Linked DNA regions of Callithrix jacchus. The protein of the gene in region 2 interacts with the protein of the main gene of each other region in a biochemical or structural test. Links are inferred from orthologs where the notes say so. Each region holds a gene or a part of one and is shown on either strand. Other genes may lie near its edges. The genes, in order: IKBKB, MAP3K7, NOD2, USP29, TAB1 and USP4.

Region 1 (4,009 bases), on a different chromosome or scaffold from region 2:
AATTCTAGTATTCTATAGAACAACAGGGTGACTGCAGTGAATAAAAATTCATTGTATATTTCAGGCCAGGCACAGTGGCTCATGCCTATAATCCCAGCACTTTGGGCAGCCAAGGTGGGCAGATCACCTGAGGTCAGGAGTTTGAGACCAGCCTGGCCAACATGGTGAAAACCCATCTCTACTAAAATATAAAAATTAGCTGGGCATGGTGGTGTGGGACTGTAATCCCAGGTACTCAGGAGGCTGACGCAGAGAATTGCTTTAACTCAAGAGGCAGAAGTTGCAGTGAGCCGAGATCGCACCACTGAATTCCAGCCTGGGCAACAGAGCAAAACTGTCTCCAAAAAACAAAAAAGAATAATTGTATATTTCAAAATACCCAGAAGAATTTTGACAGTTTCCAACAAAAAGAAAGGATGTTTCAAGTGATGAATATGCCAATTACCCCGACTTGATCATTATACATTATATATGCATCAAAATATCACATTGTACTGTGCCCCATAAATATGTACAATTATGTGTCAATTAAAAATTAAAAACAGGCCAGGTACAACTCATGCCTATAATCCTGGCACTTTGAGAGGACAAGGCAAAAAGATCACTTGAGGACAGGAGTTCTAGACTAGCTGGACAACATTGTTAGACCCCCATCACTACAAAAAATTTTTAAAAACCTCAGCTAAGGCCAGGTGCCGTGAGGCTCAGGCCTGTAATCCTAACATTTTGGGAGGAAAAGGCGGGAAGACTGCTTGAGGATGGGAGTTTGAAACCAACCTGGGTAACATAGCAAGACCCCCATCTCTCTACAAAATTAAAAAAAAAATTTTAATTATTTGAAATACGGATTTTCATCATCATTCTAAATGAAATTCTCACTTTCATGTGGATCTGCTTATTTTGTGCTGTGCAGTATTGCAAGAAATACTGGAAGACATCATAGTCAGCAAATATTTCAAAGAAAAATTTTTTTTTTGAGACAGGGTCTCATTCTGTCGCCCAGGCTGGAATGCAATGGCACTATCTCAGCTCACTGCAACCTCTGCCTCCTTCAAGTGATTCTCCTGACTCCACCTTCGAGTAGCCAGAATTACAGGTGCATGCCACCATGCCCAGCTAATTTTGTATTTTTAGTAAACATGGAGTTTCACCATGTTAGCCAGGCTGGTCTGAACTCCTCACCTCAAGTGATCCACCAGCCTCAGCCTCCCAAAGTGCTGGGATTACAGGGGTGTGCCACCATGCCCAGCCTTTTAAATAATTTTTTAAAAATTGTTTTGAGACAAGGTCTCACTCTGTTGCCCAGGCTAGAGTGCAGTGGCACAATCATAGGTCACTACAGGCTCAAACTCCTGGGCAAACAATCCTCCCACATCAGCCTCCAACTGGGATTACAGGTATGCACCATGGCTGCCTAATTTTTAAAACTTCGTAGAGATGAGGTCTTGCTATGTTGCTCAGGCTGGAGGTCTTGAACTCCTGGTCTCAAGCCATTAAAATATTTAAAACTATTTATTTACTCTCATCCTTTAAATTTTCCTATTTCTGTATGTTTTATAACATATAATATCAGTATATATTAGTACATGATATTCCACTGTTACCATAGATATGTATAATACAGACTAAGAGCTTAACTTTTTTTTTTTTTTTTTTTGCTATTTAGGTGACATAGTCGATAAAACTTGGAGACCACTATCCTAGAGTCAGCTCAGAAGTTCTGAAGCCCTCTTCCCAGTCCCCCTACTCACTGTCCCAAGATGACCAAGGCCAAAAGCGAGTCCTTGTCCCATTAGGAACAGAGAAGGTATAGGCAATGAGGAGGAAGCCTGGTTCCCCGCCCCTCCCGAGGCTGCACAGAGGAGGGCCTACCTGATTGTGCCATCGGATGACATTTCCAAATCCCCCTGTCCCAAGGCGCTCTTTCATTTCCCAGGTCCCACACGTCTGGGTTGTCAGGGAAGGTGACCAGCTCATACTGATGTCGTGCTAACTCTGTAAGCAATTTGGGGTGGGGGATAAAAGGTTAGGATTAAGAAAAAAAAAAAAAAAGGAGCTCAAAGGGCTGGAGAAGGCAAGAGATATCACTGCTCTTGTATAGAAGAGAAAAAAAATACACTGGCTTTTTACCATTTACAATGTGTTTGGTTTGTCCAAACTTTGTGGCAAACTTTTGTCCCTCTTACCCTCCCCCATCCCGGTTGCTGTGGCAGCAAGCAAGAAAGCAAGCCACCTAGGGAGGCGATGCCCACGCCCTTGCTCTAGCGAGGGAATCCCTAACTGACTCCACCAGGGGCCCCCGGGCCTGCCCACCTTCTGCCCGAGCTAGCAGGGACAGAACCTACTTCTGAGCGTCCCCTCGGTCACGTGTGTCTTTATAACATCCCCATAAATCGCGGGTTTCTCTCAAAGCCACCCACCCCCAAGGAGCCACCCCTGCCAGAGCTGTTTCTCCCGGCTTCCCAAACTTCATCCCCCACAAGTGAAACGCTCCCCCGTCCGCAAGCTGCGACTTCCGAGCGGCACAGAGGGGTCTTCCGGGCCTGATGGGAGCGGGGCGGTGGGGAGCGCGCCCAGGCAGGGCGGCGGGGCCTGCAGGTGGCACCTGGGCCGCGCCCGCCGGGGGGACTCACCTGTCGGCGGGGACGCGGGGCAGGGGGCGGGATCTCCGGGGCTGGGGAGGCGGGGCTGGGGCGGCCAAACCCGGGGCTCTGACGCCCCCTAAAAACATTAAAATGCGAGACTCTTAACCCAGGCAGCGTGGCTCGACTTCCTCAAACACTTCCTGCTCTGATGTCACGGAGCACGTGGGCCGTGGCCGCTCTTAAAGGGGCCGCGCGGGGCGGACCAGGTCCGGATGCTGCGAGCGCCCCGGGCTAGCTGGGCGTTCCCCGAGACCTCCAGGCGACTCCCCGGGGGCGGGGTGTGGGGGCGCGTGTGGCCTCTAGAAACCCCTAGGGAAAAGGAGACTGTGCTCACCGATGTAAAAGAACAGCCCTGAAATGACCCCCGTTACGCCCTGTTCTCTTTGGACAAGTGACTTCCACCTGGAGCGGTTTCTGGGCCCGGCCTGGGGATTTCCTCACCCTGCCCCCTAGGCTTCCACCTCGTTGGAATTTCCCGCGCCCGGCTGGGATGTTTTAGGGACTGCTTGTGAGAATTGCCATTGCCGCCTGCCCTCCTACGGGCGCTCCCCTGTAGCTGAGAAGGATCAATCACAGCTGACTCCTGAGAGGTGACAGCCCCGTCTAGCCCTTAAGAAAAGGAGACCCAGCAGTGTGAGGCCAAACTGCAGCCTCAGTCCCGGTGACGCCGGGAAACCGCGAGGCGCTCAGCCTGAGGTTCATCGTTCATCTCTTTCCTGCTTGGAGTCAGAATGCCCTCACTACTGAGTTTCTCCGTTTTATGGGATTACATTAGTGGACAAAGGAGGGGTGTGTGTGCGTGTTACTGGATTTTATTCAAGCAGGAAAAAAGTATCAAAGGAATCTGAAGATGATAATAGTAACTCCCATCTATAGGGTGCTTTCACAGTGCGGGGCGCTGTTCTTAATCTCTGTACTCAGATTTCCTTATTCAATCCTCAGGGGAACCCTATAAATTGGACAATACTGCATCATTATTATTATTATTATTATTATTGAGACAGGGTCTCGCTCTGTCACCCAGGCTGGAGTGCAGTGGTGTCATCACAGCTCACTGCAGCCTCCAACTCCTGGGCTCAAGTGATTCTCCTGAGTAGCTGGGACTACAGGTGCACAGCTCCTATACCTGGTGGGGTCTTACTCATCGTGTTGCCCAGGCTGGTCTCGAACTCCTGGACTTAAGGAATCCACCCACCCGTGCCTCCCAAAGTGTTGGGATTACATGCGTGAGCCTCCGCGCCTGGTCTGCATTATTATTATTTCCATTTTGCCAATGAGAAAACCGAGGCACAGAGAGGAAAACCCTTTATGGTAAAATCATAGGGCTGCTACGTAGAGGAGCTGAAACTCAAACCCTAGCAACT
Region 2 (3,500 bases):
TTAACATTGAACTCATAGCCAACATTGCTATCACTCATGCCTAAATGAAGATAATCTAACACATGTATAGCGTCTGTTAAGACACATCATAGCCTTCTTATACTTAGGCAGTACTACGCTTGAGGGCCATTTTAAATAGCAAAATTACCAACAAAAATCACAAAAATGAAAAAGGTAGGGCTCTAAACAGTACAAAAAGGACAGCTGTTTATAGCATGAGACCTGAAACAAGATGGAAGAGCATTATCTTGTTTAACCTCAGCTAGAAACATGTGTTAGATGACTCAAAATTACACTGTCTGCGAATAATCATGAAAGCACTGTCTGCAAATAACCATGAAAGCACTGTGAGTATTAATTCTGGGGTTACAAATAAAGGTTAGCAAATAGGCAATTTTGCAATTATGAAATTGGTGAATAATGAGGATCAACTGTACATATGCTTGAACCTGCACAGAAGATTTACATCTTACTATAAAATTTAGGACATAACACTATTTAATACCTCCTTAGACTTCATTGTATACTTTAAAATGATGTATTATGCAGAAATAAAACCCAGGAATGGGGAAAATCTATAAACACATATTGAATTCACAAGGAATGAGAGAGATTATCAAACATACCATACTTTTGCCATTTTACCTTCAAAAACTTCAGGTGCCATCCAAGCAGCACTCCCCTTGTTATTGGTCATGTGTGTCTGAATGTCACAGGCTGTACCAAAATCACAAATTTTTAGAACTGTCCCCCCTGCAACCAGCAGTAAGCTGTTTTAAAAAAACAAAAATATCAAAAATTGTTAAGGCCAAACATTAAAAAAAATTCTACAATAAAAGAAGAGACATTTGTGGAAATGGAAAAGATTAAGCAAAATGAATGTTATCATTCAACTTTGTGAAATGATCAACTTACTTGGTCACTATAAAAGCCTAACAGTTTGGAGTAATATAAGCAGAAATTAATTGGCCATAACCTAGCTCTCTTTGGAAGGCTGCCAGACTCACATTTTGATGTCTTCATGTCTAGCTCCATAATCTTTCCTGACCATACTTCTCTCTGGCCAAAATAAAATGTGGGGTTTAAAAGACTTCTAGTAGGTCAACATTATGGTGTCCTGAAATGGGAGTTTAATCATAAATATGTATTACTTAAAAAAATAGTAACACTAGGTAATTTAATTAAAGAAAATAGGCTAATATAGAAGGAAAAAAATGGTCCTTAATTTAAATCTCTATTTTGATACTTCTAAAAATGTTCAATCTCAAAACAATTTTTATGTTTAGAATATGTATGTGTGGGAGGAATAAAAATCTCTTACAGCTAAATAACCTAATGAAAGATTTCTGGAAAATTTTCTGAACTTAAGATTCTGACTTTCCTAGGTGCACTATTAATCAACCACAATCACCAAGTAGCATACACTTACAAGATTTTGCTTTTCATGACAAACAGAAATAGCAATGGCCATTTCTATTCACATAGAACGTGCAAATATAATTTCCACAATCACACTGTAGTAGTATCCAGTAGCAATACATAGGAATTCATTTTAATTCTAAGTTTTAAAAACTTTTTATATCTGAAGAGGTTATTTAGAAATTTCTTCTCTTTTAGTCCAGTGTGACTAAAATAAGTCAGATAAACTACTACTCACAGTTCCATAATACCAAAAAGACTCATAATCATTCCAGTGAAAAGAATGCTAAATCCAGTTTACCTTTGTAGGTAGTTCAACAAAAAAAAATTTTACCCCCATCTCAATGTTTTGTTCAAACTCTTATACTTTTTACCCAAGAAAATGATAAGAACTCTGTAACTGGTTTCCTTGTTTTATACTGGTATATTCAAGATATCAAGGCCGGGTGCGGTGGCTCACGCTTGTAATCCCAGCACTTTGAAAGGCTGAAGTCAGGCGTTCAAGACCAGCCTGACCAACATGGTGAAACCCTGTCTCTAAAAAAAAAAAGAAAAAAAAAAGAAGTCAAGATAATTTCTGATAATTCAAGATAATTTTCCTGAATGATTTTTATGTTAGTACTCCTTTATTTGACTTCAAAAGTTCACCAGCCTTGAACATGAAATTCAGGGCTCACTGAAATCTGAACTTAAAGTATCTTTGTAGGCTTACTTTCACACAGTTAAGACTAAAAACATTAATTTCTAATGTACATGTGAGTAAACTTGTAAAAGATAAAATATGGGCACAAGCACAACTTGATAGTATATAAAACATCTCCCTAGATCATCAGGTACCTTCCTTAGATCCATTCTGAGGAACTCTTCCTGACCACAGAATCTGTAGGTTTTCCACTGACGCTAAGGTTTTCCACTGACAATAAGCAGGTATTCATGTATACCCAATTGTATGCAAAAACATAGTCATTCCAACGAATTTTCTTTTCCTCAGTGCTTTCTGAATTGAAATCAATTCTGATTCTAAAGTCCAACTTGTATACCAGGGGCTTTAAAGACAATTTGCAAGATGAATCTAATAATGGAGAGGCCTGGAATAAATGACCTAGACCAGACCTTCTATAAATATGTTAATTGTATTTACTAGCAAAAGGAGAATCTCTATCTATAAATGATTTTAGAAGGATATATCTGGTTGAACTAGGTTGATTAAACAAACATAAAATTTATGGGGTAGAAGATTGGGGATAGTAGTTAAGCTGTGTAATTAGTGCAATGTAAAAGATGTTAGAAAATGGAAATGACTTCCTTTCGTAAGCTATTTCTCCATATACTGTTTAATAACTAATCATTTATTCCAAAGCCAAAACACCTAGTAATGAGGAGAAAAAAGATACTTTTGGGAGTTGCATCAGATGTGTTCAAGCTCTTTTGGGAAAAGAATGCTTTGGCTGTACCTGATGCTTGCCTATAACCTTTGGATTATTTGGCAGTTTGTTCTGGTTAAGAGCTGTGATTCTCTTGAGTCTCCTTTAATAATTCAACTCTGTTAATACAGTGGGAAATGGACGACTGAATATTCATAACCAGGAAAAAAGGCTAAGTGATTTCTTCATTAGTTACGGCAGGTAACTAAGATAATAGCCTCAGGAAAAGTAAAAGCTTAATCATTATTTTATCAGTGACCTGGGGAAATAGAAATCAGTTTAAGCTTAGGAGTAGAGATAAGATACACTAGCAAGAACAGTGATTTTAAGAGTTGGAACCTATGTAGAGTATATCAGATTAGACCTGAGAGTGACAAGTTATACCCAGAAGGGATGTTTTAATGCTTTAAGCCAGTATCAAGACAATGAAATAACTGAAGACTGTACTGATTTCCTAAGGGAAACCTCTTCTGTAAAGACTAATGTGCTGGGGTGGGAGCTTGGGGGAGAGTAAAGAAGGTATGTGGAGACTATTTTTACTCTGTCACAGGTGCATAAAAGAAAAAAAGAGAGAAAAGTAAACAATGTGTTTTATGTGTATGTTTTCGTTAACCAAATACCTATATATAAAAAAACCCCAAAGTTTTAGTCCTTTAA
Region 3 (4,025 bases), on a different chromosome or scaffold from region 2:
CCCGCATGGGCTCTCCCCAAACCCCAGGCCCAGGCCTGAGCCCAGACACCTCCTTCCTTCCTGAGACCTTAGCCAGCCTGGTTTTTCTGGGGCCAAGAGCAAATGCTTGGCTTAAGTGCTGAAATCTCAGCCCACTGACCCCTTGCAGACAGAAAAGGAGGGGAAACTCAAGGAAGCTCAACTTCCCAAGCCTTCTGGGACTCTGCTGGGGCCAAGCCCCACACCCTCCCACAGCCATCCTCCATTCTCCCTCCCCAGCACTGAGCTTCTCTCCTTAAAAGACCAGTTCCCCCACCAGTGAACAATGCACTCTAATCCTCCATTGTAAAAGTAAGGCCCTCTCTTGACGCCCCTCTTCTTCATTTGGCTCCAATCCCATTTCTCTGCCTCCTTTATAGCAGGCCCCCTTGTCTGTGCCTGCACTGCTGTCCCCAAATCCTCCCATCCCTTCTCATCCCCCAAGTTCCCCATCCAGCTCCAGTCAGACTGTTTTGATCATGGTCACCAGTGACCTCCCATTGCTCAATCCTAAGCCCTCAGCCTGCTTGCTCTGCCAGGGGCATTGGTCATAATTGCTCCACCAGGGGCATTGGTCATAATTGCTCCCTCCTTCCCCCTTGGGGCACCCCAACTCTCTCATTTTCACTCTTTCTGTCTTCCTGGCTGGTTCCTAACACCGGGGGCCCCAGCGCTCAATGGCTGGACCCCTTCTCTTCTCCATAGTGCTCCCTTCCTAGATGAAGCCACCTGCTCTTGCGGCTTTAAATACCAGCTATAGGGTGACGATGCCCACAGTTTCATTTCCAACTCCAACCTCCGCCCTTAACTTTTCCCAACTGCTTAATCATCGTTGGTGCCTAATGGACAGCTCACACGACAAGCACAAAACCAAACTCCTGATCTCCCCCGTCGCAACTCCCATTGCAGTTCACGGCAGCTTCAAACCTCCAGAAGCTTGAGCCAAAAACTCAGAATCATCCTTGATTCTACCTTTCTCTTGCACCCCAAATCCTATTGACATAGCCTTTGAAATATATCCCAAATCTGAAGGTCTGGGGTTTTTTTCTATTTTTTTTAACCACCTGTGGGCCATGGTGTAAGCCACTTTGGTCTCTCCCCGGAACAATGTACTGATCCTCTCACCAGGCTCTCCTTTTGCCCTTAGTCCACCCATCACTATCCATTCTCCACCCCACAGCTGGATGGGCCTGCCAGACCCCAAGTCAGAGCAGGTGACTTCTCAGCTCCAAACCAGGGCTCCCACCGCGCTCAGAGTAAAAGCCAAAGCCCCCCCACCCGCCCGCACAGATACTCACAAGGCTCGCCCTTGCCTCCTGATGACTGCCCAGCTGTCGTGGTCTTGGGGAAGCCTTCCCTAACTGTGCTATATACAATGCAATACCCAGCCCCAGCACCCCATCCTGCTTCCCCGCTTTGTTTTACTCGTAGCACTTCCCACTGCCTGCCATGCCACAGATTTACCTCTTTCATTGCTGTCCATTCCTTTCCAGAATGTGCACTCCATGAGGGCAGGGAGTTTAATCTGATTTCCCCATTGCTCAGTCTCACATCTCATTCAGTGCATGAATGATGACTGCTGGAATGGGTGAAAGAATGGATGTGCTCTGCATGGCTCCAGGAGACAGATGTGGAACCAAGTGCAAAATCTGTAAGCCACAGATTTTAGGTAAAGGAAACAAGAGCCGTAAGACACTGAAAAGCCACCTCATCAGTAATAAGCTCCCCACCACCAGGCATGTGTTGCAGAGGGCTTCTGAACTGGGTTGGAGGGAGGTGGGCTGGATGAGGATGCTTCCAGCCTTGATCCCAGGGTGCAGAGAGGCAGAGGGACCTTGCGAGGCCAAATTCAAGGGCTGCAGCAACCCCATGGCTGAGTGATTGGGACAGGCAAGTACAGGCAGTGAGGATGTCACTCTGGTCTTCTTCACTAAGGGGTTGGGGAGGGTGACAGGGCAGGCGATCCCCCTCTGTAGAACAAGGACCTTGGAGGAGGCCAAGTCACAGCCCATGGGAAAACCAAGGCCATGGCAAGAAGCCCAAGGGCTCAGAAAAAGCAAACTTGGAAGCGGGGGTCCAGCCTCCAACCCTCATGCAGCTTCAGGAGGCCCTCCGCAGGGCTATTGGGTGGAGGGCTTTTCAGTTCATTGGAATGTAAGCAGGACCAGACAGCTGCTCCGTCAACTTGAGAAGCAGAGAGCAAACAGCCGGGGGATGTGGCCACACAGGTCCTGGTGTGGGCTATCTGGGGAGGGATGGATTTGAACTTAGATCTCACACCCACCAAGGGAGAAGGAGGAGGCAGGAGATTCCCCTAAGAAGTGCAGACAGCAGCAGTAGGATCCTCCGGGCAGACCCTCTCACACCACTCACTGGCATGGTGAAGATGAGGAAACTGAGTCCCACAGAGAGGAAAGAACTCAAAAGAATGGCGCCCTCAGAGACCTGAAGCCCGGGCTCCTCAGGACTTTCCACTCCTGCCAGGAGCCTCCCCAACCTGGAGATGTCCCCTTTCCTTCTCATGTCCCATCTACACCCGGGACTCCCCCAGGAGAAACCGAGGCAACCCTTCTCCAAGCCCTGCAGCCAAGACTGCTAGACTGCTCGGACGGACGCCAAGTGTTCGAGTCCTGGGGGCGGCACCATGGACACCCACAGTCTTCCCGCAGCCCACCCCCAGGCGCTAGGCACAGGCCTCGCGCCAGGAAACAGCACTCACCGCGAGCCGCCGGCGCCCGGACTCCCAGGCCTGCTGTGGGCCACGACTCCGGGCTCCACCTCCGGCTTGGGCTGCGCCTCCGTCTGCGCGGGCGTTCGGCTCCACCCCCGCCTGGACCCCGCCCCTGCTCTGCCCGGACGGCCGCACCCGCTCCAGTCCCAGGCCACGCAGCCCCGAGAGCGCCCACTCCAGGGCTGGCGAGGCTCACAGGGGACAGGGAGGGAGGGCGCAGGAAAGGGGCCGGGCCTGTCTGCGGGGCTGGACGGTCCTGGCTGGGTGCCCTGGTCAGCAGGCCTCCCTTTCTGGGCCTCATTTCAACCAGGAGGGAACCGGACAGTCCTCAGAACAACCCGCTTCCCAACACACACACCACGCACACACTGCTTCCCAACACACATATACACACACACCGCTTCCAACACACACACACACACACACCCCGCTTCCCAACACACACACACACACACACCCCGCTTCCCAACACACACCACACACACACTGCTTCCCAACACACACACCACGCACACACTGCTTCCAACACACACACACACACACACTGCTTCCCAACACACATATACACACACACCGCTTCCAACACACACACACACACACACCCCGCTTCCCAACACACACACACACACACACACCCCGCTTCCCAACACACACCACACACACACTGCTTCCCAACACACACACCACGCACACACTGCTTCCCAACACACACACCATGCACACACTGCTTCCCAACACACATATACACACACACCGCTTCCAACACACACACACACACACACACCCCACTTCCCAACACACACCACACACACACTGCTTCCCAACACACACCACACACACACTGCTTCCCAACACACATATACACACACACCGCTTCCAACACACACACACACACACCCCGCTTCCCAACACACACACACACACACACCCCGCTTCCCAACACACACCACACACACACTGCTTCCCAACACACACACCACGCACACACTGCTTCCCAACACACACACCATGCACACACTGCTTCCCAACACACATATACACACACACCGCTTCCAACACACACACACACACACACACCCCACTTCCCAACACACACCACACACACACTGCTTCCCAACACACACCACACACACACTGCTTCCCAACACACATATACACACACACCGCTTCCAACACACACACACACACACACACCCCACTTCCCAACACACACCACACACACACTGCTTCCCAACACACACACCACGCACACACTGCTTCCCAACACACACACCAC
Region 4 (3,721 bases), on a different chromosome or scaffold from region 2:
AAACTCACAAGAATTTTTCAGCTGAGTAATAACATTAGAAGTGTGGTCCTCATCCGTCGTAAAAAAAGGAAAAGTCACCTGCGTTTAACTCTGAAAAACAACGTGTTCCTGTTTATTGACAAATTATCCTACAAAGACGCTAAACAGTTGAATACGTTCCTGGACATAATCCATCAAAACAAATTTCAACAACCCACGAAACCTGACGACGACTGGAGCGTGTTGGAAAGTAGGGACGTGCCGAAGGAGATTGACAGAACTTCATTTTACATTTGTTACAAGCCAGGTTATGGAAAAGGAGGCAAGACACCTTTCCCTCAGAAGATGCCTTTGTTTATGTCAAAATCACCAGCATGTGTGAAAAAGGGATTAGTAGAAAGTCAAGGTGGGAAGAGGAAAGACACACTGTCATCTGACCTAGACATGAACGAGCACATTCTGAAGGAACATAACCTTGGATCAAATGAGAAATATAAGACAGATCCCTTGAAGTATACACAAAGCTATGGGAATGATCCATCGAGTTTAGAGGACTCGGAAAAAGGGAGAAGTTTGGAACCTGGGCCTCCATTCAACTCCAGTGGAAATCCTGACCTAGATGAGACTCTTCTTGCAATCCAGACTCTCGAGGCTGAACATGGTTTGACATTTCCATTAGAACCCGAGCACAGCCGGGATGACCCAAGATGCCACGAAGCCCAGGTGCCTCCTGACCCTCTCTCAGAGCAACCGCAGCAAGGCTTCCCCAACCTGGGAAACACCTGTTACATGAACGCAATTTTACAGTCGCTGTTTGCGATTCCGTCTTTCGCTGATGACTTACTCACTCAAGATGTCCCGTGGGAATATATTCCCTTTGAGGCTCTTCTTATGACCTTGACCCAGCTGCTTGCTTTGAAAGATTTCTGCAGTACGGAGATCAAGAAAGAATTACTTGGGAACGTGAAAAAAGTCATTTCGGCCGTCGCAGAAATATTTTCTGGCGACCTGCAGAATGACGCTCATGAGTTCTTAGGTCAATGTTTAGACCAGCTGAAAGAGGACATGGAGAACTTAAACGCCATTCTGAAGACCGGGAGAGGCCGTGGGGACGGAAACTCCTCTCCGCAACTGCATGTTGCTCACGCTGCCACCAGAGTCTTTGTTTGTCCCGTTGTTGCTAATTTTGAGTTTGAATTGCAACTCTCCATTATCTGCAAAGCCTGTGGTCATGCTGTTCTCAAGGTAGAACCTAATAATTACCTCTCCATCAACCTGCACCAAGAGACAAAAGCGCTTCCTACGTCCATTCAGGATTCTTTAGATCTTTTCTTCAGAGAAGAAGAGCTTGAATATAACTGTGAGATGTGTAAGCGCAAGAGTTGTGTTGCGATGCACACGCTCAGCCGGCTCTCCAGGGTCCTCATCGTTCATCTGAAGCGCTACAGCTTCAACGACGCTTGGTTGCTGGCGAAGAATAATGAGCAAGTTTATATCCCCAAATATTTAAGCTTATCTTCTTACTGCTACGAGGGCACCAAACAACCTCTTCCCTTGAGCAGTAACGCACCTTTGGGGAAAGGCGAAGTCCTGGACGTCTCTCGGGAGATGGTCTCTGAGAGCACCAGCCCATTAACAGCATCAATGAAGCTCACCTCGGAATCCAGTGACTCCCTGGTTCTACCCATGGAACCAGACAAGAATTCTGACCTTCAAAGATTCCAGAGAGGCTGTGGGGAAGCCAGCCAAGAGCACCGTCAGAGAGACCTGGAAAATGGCTCCACGCTAGAGTCAAAATTGGTCAACTTTGGAGATACGGCATCCGGTGAAAAGAAGTGTCCAGTGGCTGACTCACTGATGGATCAGGGAGACCTTTCTCTTCCTGTGATCTGTGAAGATGGCGGTGAGCCAATCAGCAGCCCGGACACAAGGCTTCTCGACTTCCACCTTCAAGAGATGCCTCAACATCCAGACCTTGAGAAGTGTGAGAACACCAACACATTTGTAGAGTTACATTTTGACAGCGTCACTGAGTCTACCGATAGCTCTTATGAGTGTAAGGAAAACAGGATTCCAGAAGGATCTCCAAGGATGTCTGAACAGCTCCAGCAGTGTATCGAGAAGAGCATCATAGAGGAACTTCTTCAGCAGGCACCACCTCCAGGTGTTCGGAAGCCAGATGCCCAGGAACATACAGAGGAGACCCTCAGTCTACCTACAGAAGCCAGACTTCAGAAGGCTGACCTGAATCACCTGGGGGCATTTGGTTCTGATAACCCAGGAGACAAAGACATTTTAGATACAGAGAACGCAAGAGACAAAGTCCAGGAACTGACGAGGAACACGAAGGTGGGGGATCCCCTCCAGGCCTACAGACTCATCAGTGTTGTCAGCCATATTGGGAGCTCCCCAAATTCAGGCCATTACATCAGCGATGCATATGACTTTCAGAAGCAGGCCTGGTTCACGTACAATGATCTGTGTGTATCAGAAATCTCAGAGACCGAAATGCAGGAGGCGAGGCTCCACTCTGGATATATCTTCTTTTACATGCACAGTGGGATTTTTGAGGAGCTGCTAAGAAAGGCAGAGAACTCTCGGCTGCTTAGCGCGCAGGCAGAGGTGATTCCTCAGGGGCAGTAAGATGACTCTTTATACAGACCTGCTTAACGACTCACTGGGTCTCACTTCCTCCACGCAAGGAGAATCCAGAATGAAGGAACAAGTATCTCAGGGTGAAAGCTCAATGAAAAACACTTATTTTGGGGGAATTTATCTAGATCCCAGAACTCAGGCCCATATGCATATGTTCCCTACAAGATTAGAATGATGCTTTTCATGTTTTGACATGATCGTTCTCTTTTTTTTAAAAAAAAAAAAAAAAGACAGGGTTTCACCATGTTGGTCAGGCTGGTCTTGAACTCCCGACCTCAGGTGATTCGCCCACCTTGGCCTCCAAAGTGCTTGGATTACAGGCGTGAGCCACCACGCCTGGCCGACACGATGGCTTTCAAAATGTTCTTCAACCAGCAACAGCAGCAGCTAGGGACCGATTAGAAATGCAGATTCTTGGGTCCCCTCCAGACCCACTGGCGCAGAAACAGGAGGTGTGGCTTAGCAATCTGATGGAGACTCAAGGGCTCCTGAAAGTTTGAAGAACACTGTTAACGCGTGGAGGGTCTTGGTGTATTTTTATCCTGTTGATATGAATTGTTTATGTCATATAAATGATTTTCACTGAATGCTTTGCCTTTCTTTATTTCGTCCCGCTGAACCTAGAGAAATTCCAGCAGAGAAATTCCAACAAATGCAGGCCCAAAGCCCTTCTGAGAGCGGGCCGGTTGGGATTCCAAAGAAAGAAGCACTAAACACTGGGGGGACCTGTCCAGAGCATTTATGAGGAGGAACTTAGTGCTGCAGTGTATCTTCAGGGGGATGGTGAGACAAAAAAGCATCGTCTACCTGCTGGGCATCGGCTCACACCTGTAATCCCAGCGTTTTGGGAGGCCAGGATGGGAGGACTGCCTGAACAGAGGAGTTCAAAACCAGCCTGGCAATATAGCAAGACCCTGTCTCCACCAAAATAACTTAGCCAGGCACGTCTCAGCTACTCAGGAAGCTGAGGTGGGAGGACCACTTGAGCCTGGAGTTCAAGGCTGCAGTGAGCTATGATTGCACTACTGCACTCCAGCCTGGGTGACAAAGACCCTGTTTAAAAAAAAAAAAAAAAGGAAGGGAGGAT
Region 5 (3,500 bases), on a different chromosome or scaffold from region 2:
GCGCTACAGATGCCAGTGGGCGGGCGATGTGAGCAGGTGGGTGACAAGGGTGGGGACCCATTCAGGTCAAAGGACTGCGAAAAGCTTTCCTCATGCCCACCACTGCCCAGCCAATGCTGAGCTTTAGTGTGCAGCTGCCCATAGCAGGGTGGTAAGGTCCCTCACCTGTGGCCACCCACCAGTGTTCCCCATGAGAAACTGCTCCCTAACTCCTGCTGCTCTGGCCCAGTAATGTCAAGACAAAGTAGCTAAGTCCATGCTTCTTGCAAAGCTGGGCCTGGACTTGACTCCCCTGGGTGTGGGCTGGGGAAATTACCTCTGGCAGTTGCGACTGGAGGCTTGCCTTCTCAGCCAAGGCATCGTCAATGGACTCCAGGAAGCTCCTCTCTACCACATCGAAGGCCTGGAGGGACACAGGACAGGGCAAAGACTGGTTCAAAACACCACTGTCACTGGTGCTAAAATGCCCCCTATGAAGAACAGCAACAGCTTCACTGTATTCACTGCAGGTCCTCCTGTGATGGGGCTTTCCGCATGTCGGTTTTGCCTCCAGCCCGGCACTGCAAGGCACTGGCTGCTTCTTGCAGATCCGTGTCTTTGACAAAGCCCTTCAGCCCCATAGGGGTGCGTAGCCAACAGAGGCGGCACTCAGAGGGCTTGGAGGCAGCAGACAGTGCGGAGGCTAAGAGCAAAGGCTTGGAGTAGGCCCAGCTGGTGTGACCTCTGGACACCTCAGTCTCACACAACAGAGGTTAAGTGTTGTTCCGAGGGTAAGTCCAGCCTGGCACTCAGCATGGCACCTGCTCAGAGAAACTGCCAGGACTATGACAGCTCCCATGATTACTACGACTTCTTCCTGGGAGGCTTCTGTCAAACTCTGCTGGCCCTGGGACACTGGTGACACTGACAACTCCCCCTGGGTGTGAGATCTGCTGACAATCACTGGCCATGGAGCCTGAGGCCATGAAGGGGAGGAAAAGGCTGGCACCACTGTTCTCTGGGAACAGAAGCCCATCTTCTCATCTAAAATGGGCCTGAGACATGCTCCTGAAAGGAGATGCCAGGAGGAAAATTCCCAACAGTGCAAGCAGAAAGGTGGAACCAGCGAATGATGGCAGCACCCCATCAAAAAGGGGAGGCAAGGTCTTCCCTGAATGCCCAGATATGCTTCCTGCACCTGGAGGCTGAGCACCTGGCTACATGAGAAAGAAATGGGTAGCTCCGAATGACCCCATTCCGACCAGGCCTTGCCCTGCTCCTACTTGACACCTCTCTCCATGCTCACATCCCTAAATCCCCCCGTCTCCAGCAGTACCTCCCCTGTCAGCTCTGCTAGCCACTGAAGGCCTGCTGCTTGCTGGCTGGTCCTGGACTCCTAGAGAAGGGGCCCCTATGCCGGGAGCTGCTTCTCTATCACGGTGAAGGGGCCGGCAGGATCTTTACACCAACCCTGGCAACGTGCTAGACGTGCAGGGCCCAGGCCCTGGGGGTGGGGGACACGATGGAGCCAGGTTACTGCCAGCCCCAGCACCATTACCTGCAGCAGCACGCGCCGCACGTCGGCCTCAGCATGCTCAACATTCAGCTGGCCCAGGAGGAGCTCCGCGGACAGCCGCTGGGCCACGAAGTTGGTCACCCGGTTGCCATCGTAGCCGTTGAAGACCCCATACAGGAAGCAGTTGTTCTCACTCCTGGCAGTGGGAGAGGGCAGAGGGAGGACTAAGACCAGGGTCTCACACGGAGGTGGAAGGAGAAAGGGAAAGGAATTGGGGGAGGCTAAAGCTACAGCGGCTGCAGCTTCAGGCACCGACCTGGGTCCCCCTGCTTTGGGCATCATTTCACTCTGGTGGCTATGACCTTCTGGGATACCCTCCTCCCCATGCTCACACTACCCCATCAGAGGAAACCCTTGGCTGGTCTAAAGTCCAGCAGTATAAAGGGCAGCAGCAGAGGCCACCTCCCACAGGCCACATCTCACTGGCAAGCTCATATGAGAAAGCTGCAAAGTCAATGTCTTTCCTTGCAAACTCACCAACTCCCTGGGTCCAGGACCAAAATGCTGGCACACACACCTGAACTTGAGCCAGCTGTCCTCTGGCGGGTGGCTCTCAGTGCCCTTGCCATCAGCAGAGTAGCTTCGGTTGGAGGCTGAGCCAACCCCAGAGAGGTGGCAGAGCGGAAGGTCGTCTGTCCAGCTTGGCTGCTGCTCCTGGGGAAGGACACCAGGAAGCCGTGAGGCACCACTGCTTCTGCAGCGTAGATCCCACTTCATCTTTTTCTTCTGCAACAAAAACCTAGCAGGCCGGCAGCCCTACACAGAGGGTTCCACTTCCCTTGGGAAAACAAAGATGTTTGTATGAACAGACACCTGCAGAAGGGTTTGCTGTTTTTATGGCTAGTCTACAAACTAGTTCCCCAGGAAAACGGAAAGACTCCAGCATTCCAAAGGCAAGGTGCAGCAATGGCCTCCAGGAGTGAGCTGTTATGAAACCTAGTGAAACACATACAAAGGTCTCAAACTCTTGACAGGAAACTCTTTGGGGCCTGCACCTCTTACTGCACTGGCTCCAAATGCACACTGCAAAGGAATCCCTTGGGCACTGGTTGAAACTGCAGGCTGCAGGCCCCACCCTCAGAATGACTGATCTGGGCAGGACCCAGGACATCTGAAGTACAGGCCGCTCCCCACGAGTGATGCTTTCAGGTGACCTAAGACTCACCCTAGAGAAACTCTGACTTGTCACTCTCTCTGACACTGGGGCCTCCAAGTGCCAGGGAGAGTGACTGAGACTGGCTTATAAGTCGGAGTTTATGAGCTAGTTTGTAAGACATCCTCAGGCCACCCCGACATCCCCTCCCATCTCCCCTGCCACATCCTTCTCCCCCAGTCCCAAATGCCTGCAGGCCTGTCCATCCCCTGCTCTTTGCCTCCACGTGAACACCCTCCTCCTTGCCTCACAATTCTCCAGGTCCTTCGGGACTCTCTGGCTCAGGAGTCACCACCTCCAGGTGGTCTTCCTTCAGGATGACCCTCCCCAGGACTGGCTGATGGCCCTCTCATGTACCCCGACTGTACCCTGATTACAGCACCCTAGTCTGTTTGCAACACCCACTCCACCGTAGAGGATCTCAAACCAGGCTGTTCAGCATAATCAATGCACAGCTTTAAACACACTCACAGGGTCCAGGCCCCGACCCCGGCCCAAACACAAATGCTGAATTTCCCAATCTCCCTACGGTACACCCTGAGCATCTGTATTTTTTTAAGGCCCAGGAACAACTTTGATGCAAGGCCCAGGTGCCATTTCTTGCCCTAGATCTGGCCTCCCACCTGAGAAGTGTGCCCTGTTTACAAGGGCACTCCCAAGACCATCATGCGGAACTAGAGCAAACTGGAATAACTGGGAGAACCACAGCAATTTCAAGGAAGATAAAATTTGTATTGGCTGGGTGCAGTGGCTCACACCTGCAACCCCGGCACTTTGGGAAGCTGAGGAGGG
Region 6 (4,060 bases), on a different chromosome or scaffold from region 2:
TCTTGCCTCAGCCTCCCAAGTAGCTGGGATTCCGGGCATGTGCCACCATGCCCAGCTAATTTTTTTGTATTTTTAGTAGAGATGGGGTTTCACCATGTTGGCCAAGCTAGTCTCAAACTCCTGACCTCAGTGATCCTCCTGCCTTGGCATCCCAAAGTGCTGGGATTACAGGCATGAGCCACTGCGCCCAGCCTAAATGGAGTCTTTCTATGGGTAAAATCATGTTTGTTAATAAACAAGTCATTAATTTCATAATCTGTATAGAGGTCCCTGTCCAAGCAGACAGTTTGGTTATACTGTTTTGCTTGACATAAACAACACTAAACAACTAGGCTGGGTGCAGTGGCTCACACCTGTAATCCCAGCACTTTGGGAGGCTGAAGTGGGCAGATCACAAGGTCAAGAGATCAAGACCATCCTGGCCAACATGGTAAAACCCCGTATCTACTAAAAATACAAAAATTTGCCGGGCGTGATAGGGTGCACCTGTAGTCCCAGCCACTCAGGAGGCTAAGGCAAGAGAATCGCTTGAACCAGGGAGGTGGAGGTTGCAGTGAACCAAGATCGCGCCACTGCATTCCAGCCTGGCGACAGAGCGAGACTCTGTCTCAAAAAAAAAAAAAGAAAGAAACACCACCCACGTTAGTCTTCCCTTAAGGGCCAAATGAGATCCAAAAATGTACACACAAGGCCAGGCGTGGTGGCTCACACTTGTAATCCCAGCACTTTGGGAGGCTGAGGAGGGTGAACCACTTGAGCTCAGGAGTTCAAGATCAGCCTGGGCAACATGGCAAAACCCCGTCTCTACTAAAAATACAAAAATTAGCTGGGCATGGTGGCGCATGCCTGTAGTCCCAGCTGCTTAGGAGGCTGAGGCACAAGAATCACTTGAACCTGGAAGACAGAAGCTGCAGTGAGCTGAGATCACACCACTGCACTCCAGTAATAAAACACTGTCTCAAAAAAAAAAGTATGTAACGTGTGTACATATATATACACATACACATGTACATATAATAGTGCTTAGGCATGTTCATCTTGTCAAAAGCATTAAGTTGTGCTTCATATTCAACTTACCACTTTTGTACTTAAATGTAAGCAAATCTGGTATTTTATCTATCTATCTATCTATCTATCTACCTAACTATCTATCTATCTATCTATTTATTTCCTTAGAGAGAGGGTCACCCAGGCTAGCGTGCAGTGGCATAATCATAGCTCTCCGTAGCTTCAAACTCCTGGGCTCAAGTGATCCTCCTGCCTTAGCCTCTGAGTAGCTGTGACTACAGGCACATACCACCACACCCAGCTAATTTATTTTTTATTTTTATTTTGTAGAGACTAGGTCTTGCTATGTTGCCCAGGCTGGTCTTGAACTCCTGGCCTCAAGTGATCCTCCCACCTCAGCCTCCCAAAGTACTGGGATTACAGGCATGAGCCACTGCACAAGACTTGTTTATATGTTTAAAGTATCGTTATGCGGTTTTACAATTAAAACAGAAAGAGGGAAAAATCTCTGTGGGGCAACAAAGCATCAACAATTATATTGGTGCAACCTTCAAATTTTATAACAAACATGTGAAGTCAGGCAGCTTCCCAGAGGTCACAAGGATCCATAAATACATCCAACTCTAAAATGCTATTTTTCTTCCAAATCGCTTGAGCAATATCTTCCACACAATTTTACTGTGTGATTTTAGTGTATCTTAAACGTCCTGTTTCTGCTGAGGAGCCCTATAGAGGTTAACTTAAAAAGTACCTTTACCAGCCCTATAGAGGTTAATTTAAAAAGTACCTCTGATTGCTCTGCCTTTCACAAACTGGCTAGCTCAAGGTGAATACATAAGCTGTATCTGTACTCCTCCTAAACCCAATTTTTCTATTCTCCCGCTCAATTCCTCTGCAGATGGTTTCTTAAAGATAGGTAACAATCATACTCATTGCAAAGTCTAGCCCTAGTTTTCTACTCCCACGCAATAATATCACCCAGGAATCTCTCCAGTAGTATAAAGTATTGTCCCCTCTACCAAACAATCTATTAAGACTGCTCACAACTCAGCCTTGGTTTTCTAAATTCTAGACTCTTATCTTCTGTCTAGCTCCAGGACCTAGGCTATCCTCCTCTCCCACTCCGAGATACTGCTGCCACAAATGTTTCTGACATTTGCTACCAAAATAAGCTGGGGTTCTCAGACACTTGTTCAGCTTCTGACCTTGACATCTGTTGGCAGTTTACAAGTTACAAAGTATCTACTTCTGATAGTCGTCTCAACCCACTGAGGGCAGTGAGCCAAATATTGTTATCCTGGTTCTAACAGGGAGGAATAAGGTCTGTGACACCTTCGCACAAGGTCACACGGCGAGTCCTCGATGGTAAAGGGCTCTTCCCACTCTCAGGGGCCCGCCAACACTCCCCTTCTCCAGATCCTTCCCCTTGGCCCCGCCAGGCCTGCCCCCTGGGGCTCCCAAAGAGCAGACAAGACCCCGAGCTCTCGCCTGCGCTCTCGCAGAGCTGATCCTGGAGTTCTCCTGAGGGGCGGGTGTCAGGCTACTCTTTCAGGGCCACTAAACACCATCCCCGCCCGATCCCTACTCTAGCCGAGAAAAGGGGGGCTGGCCTAAGGGCCTGACACTCAGCCCCTAGCTCCGCACAGGTGAGCCGGTGCTCACCACTGCGCCCCGCGTTGGAGTGTGGTCCTCATTAAGGCTCCAAGCTCGGACTTTTGAGTCTCCGCATCCGGTCGCTCACCACATCCTCCACCTTCCGCCATCTCGTCCGCGGCCCCGGCCCAGCCGGCCCGGACATCCGTCCCACGCCGGGCGTGCTATAGACCGCGCCCACGCACGCACGTACGCACGCACGCACGCCCGTGCCTCACGTCGCGCCCAGGCCTGCGGTTCCTGCGGCTGTTGTCTTTTTTTCCCTCCTCCCCTCTCACGCCGTCTTCCTCTGCTGCTAACAGTGGCGCGGAAAGGCAGACGGGAGAGGGGCAGGCGGGGAGCAGCAGCCTTTACTTCCTCCCGCACTGCTGGCCGCGTCTTGGCCGCCCGCTGTGCAGCCGTGGGGCTTCCCTTCCTCCGCTCAGGACGGCGTTACACTCCCAAGCTCTGTCCAGCCCGCCGATCTCAGGGAGTCAGACAGCAAGCCCACGACCAGTCCGGCACCTCAGCCCGGCCTTCGAGGTTATCCTGGTCCTAAATAAACGCACGCCAGGTGCGAGAAGCCCCGTTGCTAGGTCTGCTCATTCTCACCCCTGCCATTCCGTTTTCAGCTGGAGACCTTAGCCGAGTCAGCTACCCAAACATGGGATCGGAGCTCTACCCAGCGGCCCTACAGTGATTTCGGGAAGTGCCCTGTGCACAGCGCCTTGGGACCAAGACGCAACGGTGTTCTGTAGTGATTAACAGTCGCCTTAAACAATCTAGACGCCAGAGCCACCTCGCCCACCACAGAATTCCGTCAGCTCTTCATACAGAGCTACTTGCCAAGCAGCCGCAGAGGGGCGATAGCAAGGAGGGAAGGAGAGATACTCCATATTGGGTACTCAAGCATCTTAGTTCCTTGAACAAGATAGATAAAACCTGTCCTGAACACTGTTTGCCAGGGGACCCGCTCACACAAACACACAGCCCTCCTCCTGGAGGGAGAAATAAATCCAGAGGAAAGAGGAAGTCAGACAGTTGGCCTAGATGAGTCTCCATTCACTCTCTTAACAGTTCTTGCCCTCAGAGAAAAGTAAGATCTGGTTCCTGTCCTCATACAACCTAGTAGAGAAGAGATGTTTCGGAAATAACCTCAGTGCCTAGCAGTATGTGGTAAGTGCCATTAAAGGGGGAGAACCAGGCCGGGTGCAGTGGTTCAAGCCTGTAATCCCAGCACTTTGGGAGGCTGAGGCGGGAGAAATGCTTGAGCCCAGGAATTCGAAACCAACCTCGGCAACATGGCGAAATCCCGTCTCTACAAAAAATACAAAAATTAGCCGGGCAGTGGCGTGCATCTGTGGTCCCAGCTACTCCGGAGGGTGAGGTGGGAGGATCGCTTGAGCCCTTGTGGTTGAGG

What was found.
Region 1: of the proteins of MAP3K7 (region 2) and IKBKB, one has a biochemical effect on the other in vitro, tested with the Homo sapiens proteins (5 studies listed by BioGRID). The link is inferred for Callithrix jacchus from reciprocal best matches to the Homo sapiens genes MAP3K7 and IKBKB.
Region 3: the proteins of MAP3K7 (region 2) and NOD2 form a complex in vitro, tested with the Homo sapiens proteins (2 studies listed by BioGRID). The link is inferred for Callithrix jacchus from reciprocal best matches to the Homo sapiens genes MAP3K7 and NOD2.
Region 4: the proteins of MAP3K7 (region 2) and USP29 form a complex in vitro, tested with the Homo sapiens proteins (2 studies listed by BioGRID). The link is inferred for Callithrix jacchus from reciprocal best matches to the Homo sapiens genes MAP3K7 and USP29.
Region 5: of the proteins of MAP3K7 (region 2) and TAB1, one has a biochemical effect on the other in vitro, tested with the Homo sapiens proteins (4 studies listed by BioGRID and IntAct). The link is inferred for Callithrix jacchus from reciprocal best matches to the Homo sapiens genes MAP3K7 and TAB1.
Region 6: of the proteins of MAP3K7 (region 2) and USP4, one has a biochemical effect on the other in vitro, tested with the Homo sapiens proteins (2 studies listed by BioGRID). The link is inferred for Callithrix jacchus from reciprocal best matches to the Homo sapiens genes MAP3K7 and USP4.

The regions. Positions count from the first base shown.
Region 1 is NC_133514.1:44,139,496-44,143,504, forward strand, and holds the start of IKBKB (inhibitor of nuclear factor kappa-B kinase subunit beta), read right to left. Parts: upstream 2,801-4,009; 5' UTR 2,634-2,800; intron 2,540-2,633; exon of another isoform or gene 2,346-2,539; intron 1,996-2,345; 5' UTR 1,978-1,995; coding exon 1,873-1,977; intron 1-1,872.
Region 2 is NC_133505.1:96,646,175-96,649,674, forward strand, and holds part of MAP3K7 (mitogen-activated protein kinase kinase kinase 7), read right to left. Parts: intron 771-3,500; coding exon 646-770; intron 1-645. UniProt on the Homo sapiens protein: Serine/threonine kinase which acts as an essential component of the MAP kinase signal transduction pathway. Plays an important role in the cascades of cellular responses evoked by changes in the environment.
Region 3 is NC_133521.1:8,618,532-8,622,556, reverse strand, and holds the start of NOD2 (nucleotide-binding oligomerization domain-containing protein 2), read right to left. Parts: upstream 2,801-4,025; 5' UTR 2,738-2,800; intron 1-2,737. UniProt on the Homo sapiens protein: Pattern recognition receptor (PRR) that detects bacterial peptidoglycan fragments and other danger signals and plays an important role in gastrointestinal immunity.
Region 4 is NC_133523.1:49,865,579-49,869,299, forward strand, and holds the end of USP29 (ubiquitin carboxyl-terminal hydrolase 29), read left to right. Parts: coding exon 1-2,622; 3' UTR 2,623-3,221; downstream 3,222-3,721.
Region 5 is NC_133502.1:210,212,656-210,216,155, reverse strand, and holds part of TAB1 (TGF-beta-activated kinase 1 and MAP3K7-binding protein 1), read right to left. Parts: intron 2,210-3,500; coding exon 2,073-2,209; intron 1,692-2,072; coding exon 1,538-1,691; intron 404-1,537; coding exon 317-403; intron 1-316. UniProt on the Homo sapiens protein: Key adapter protein that plays an essential role in JNK and NF-kappa-B activation and proinflammatory cytokines production in response to stimulation with TLRs and cytokines.
Region 6 is NC_133516.1:31,939,775-31,943,834, forward strand, and holds the start of USP4 (ubiquitin carboxyl-terminal hydrolase 4), read right to left. Parts: upstream 2,801-4,060; 5' UTR 2,772-2,800; coding exon 2,671-2,771; intron 1-2,670.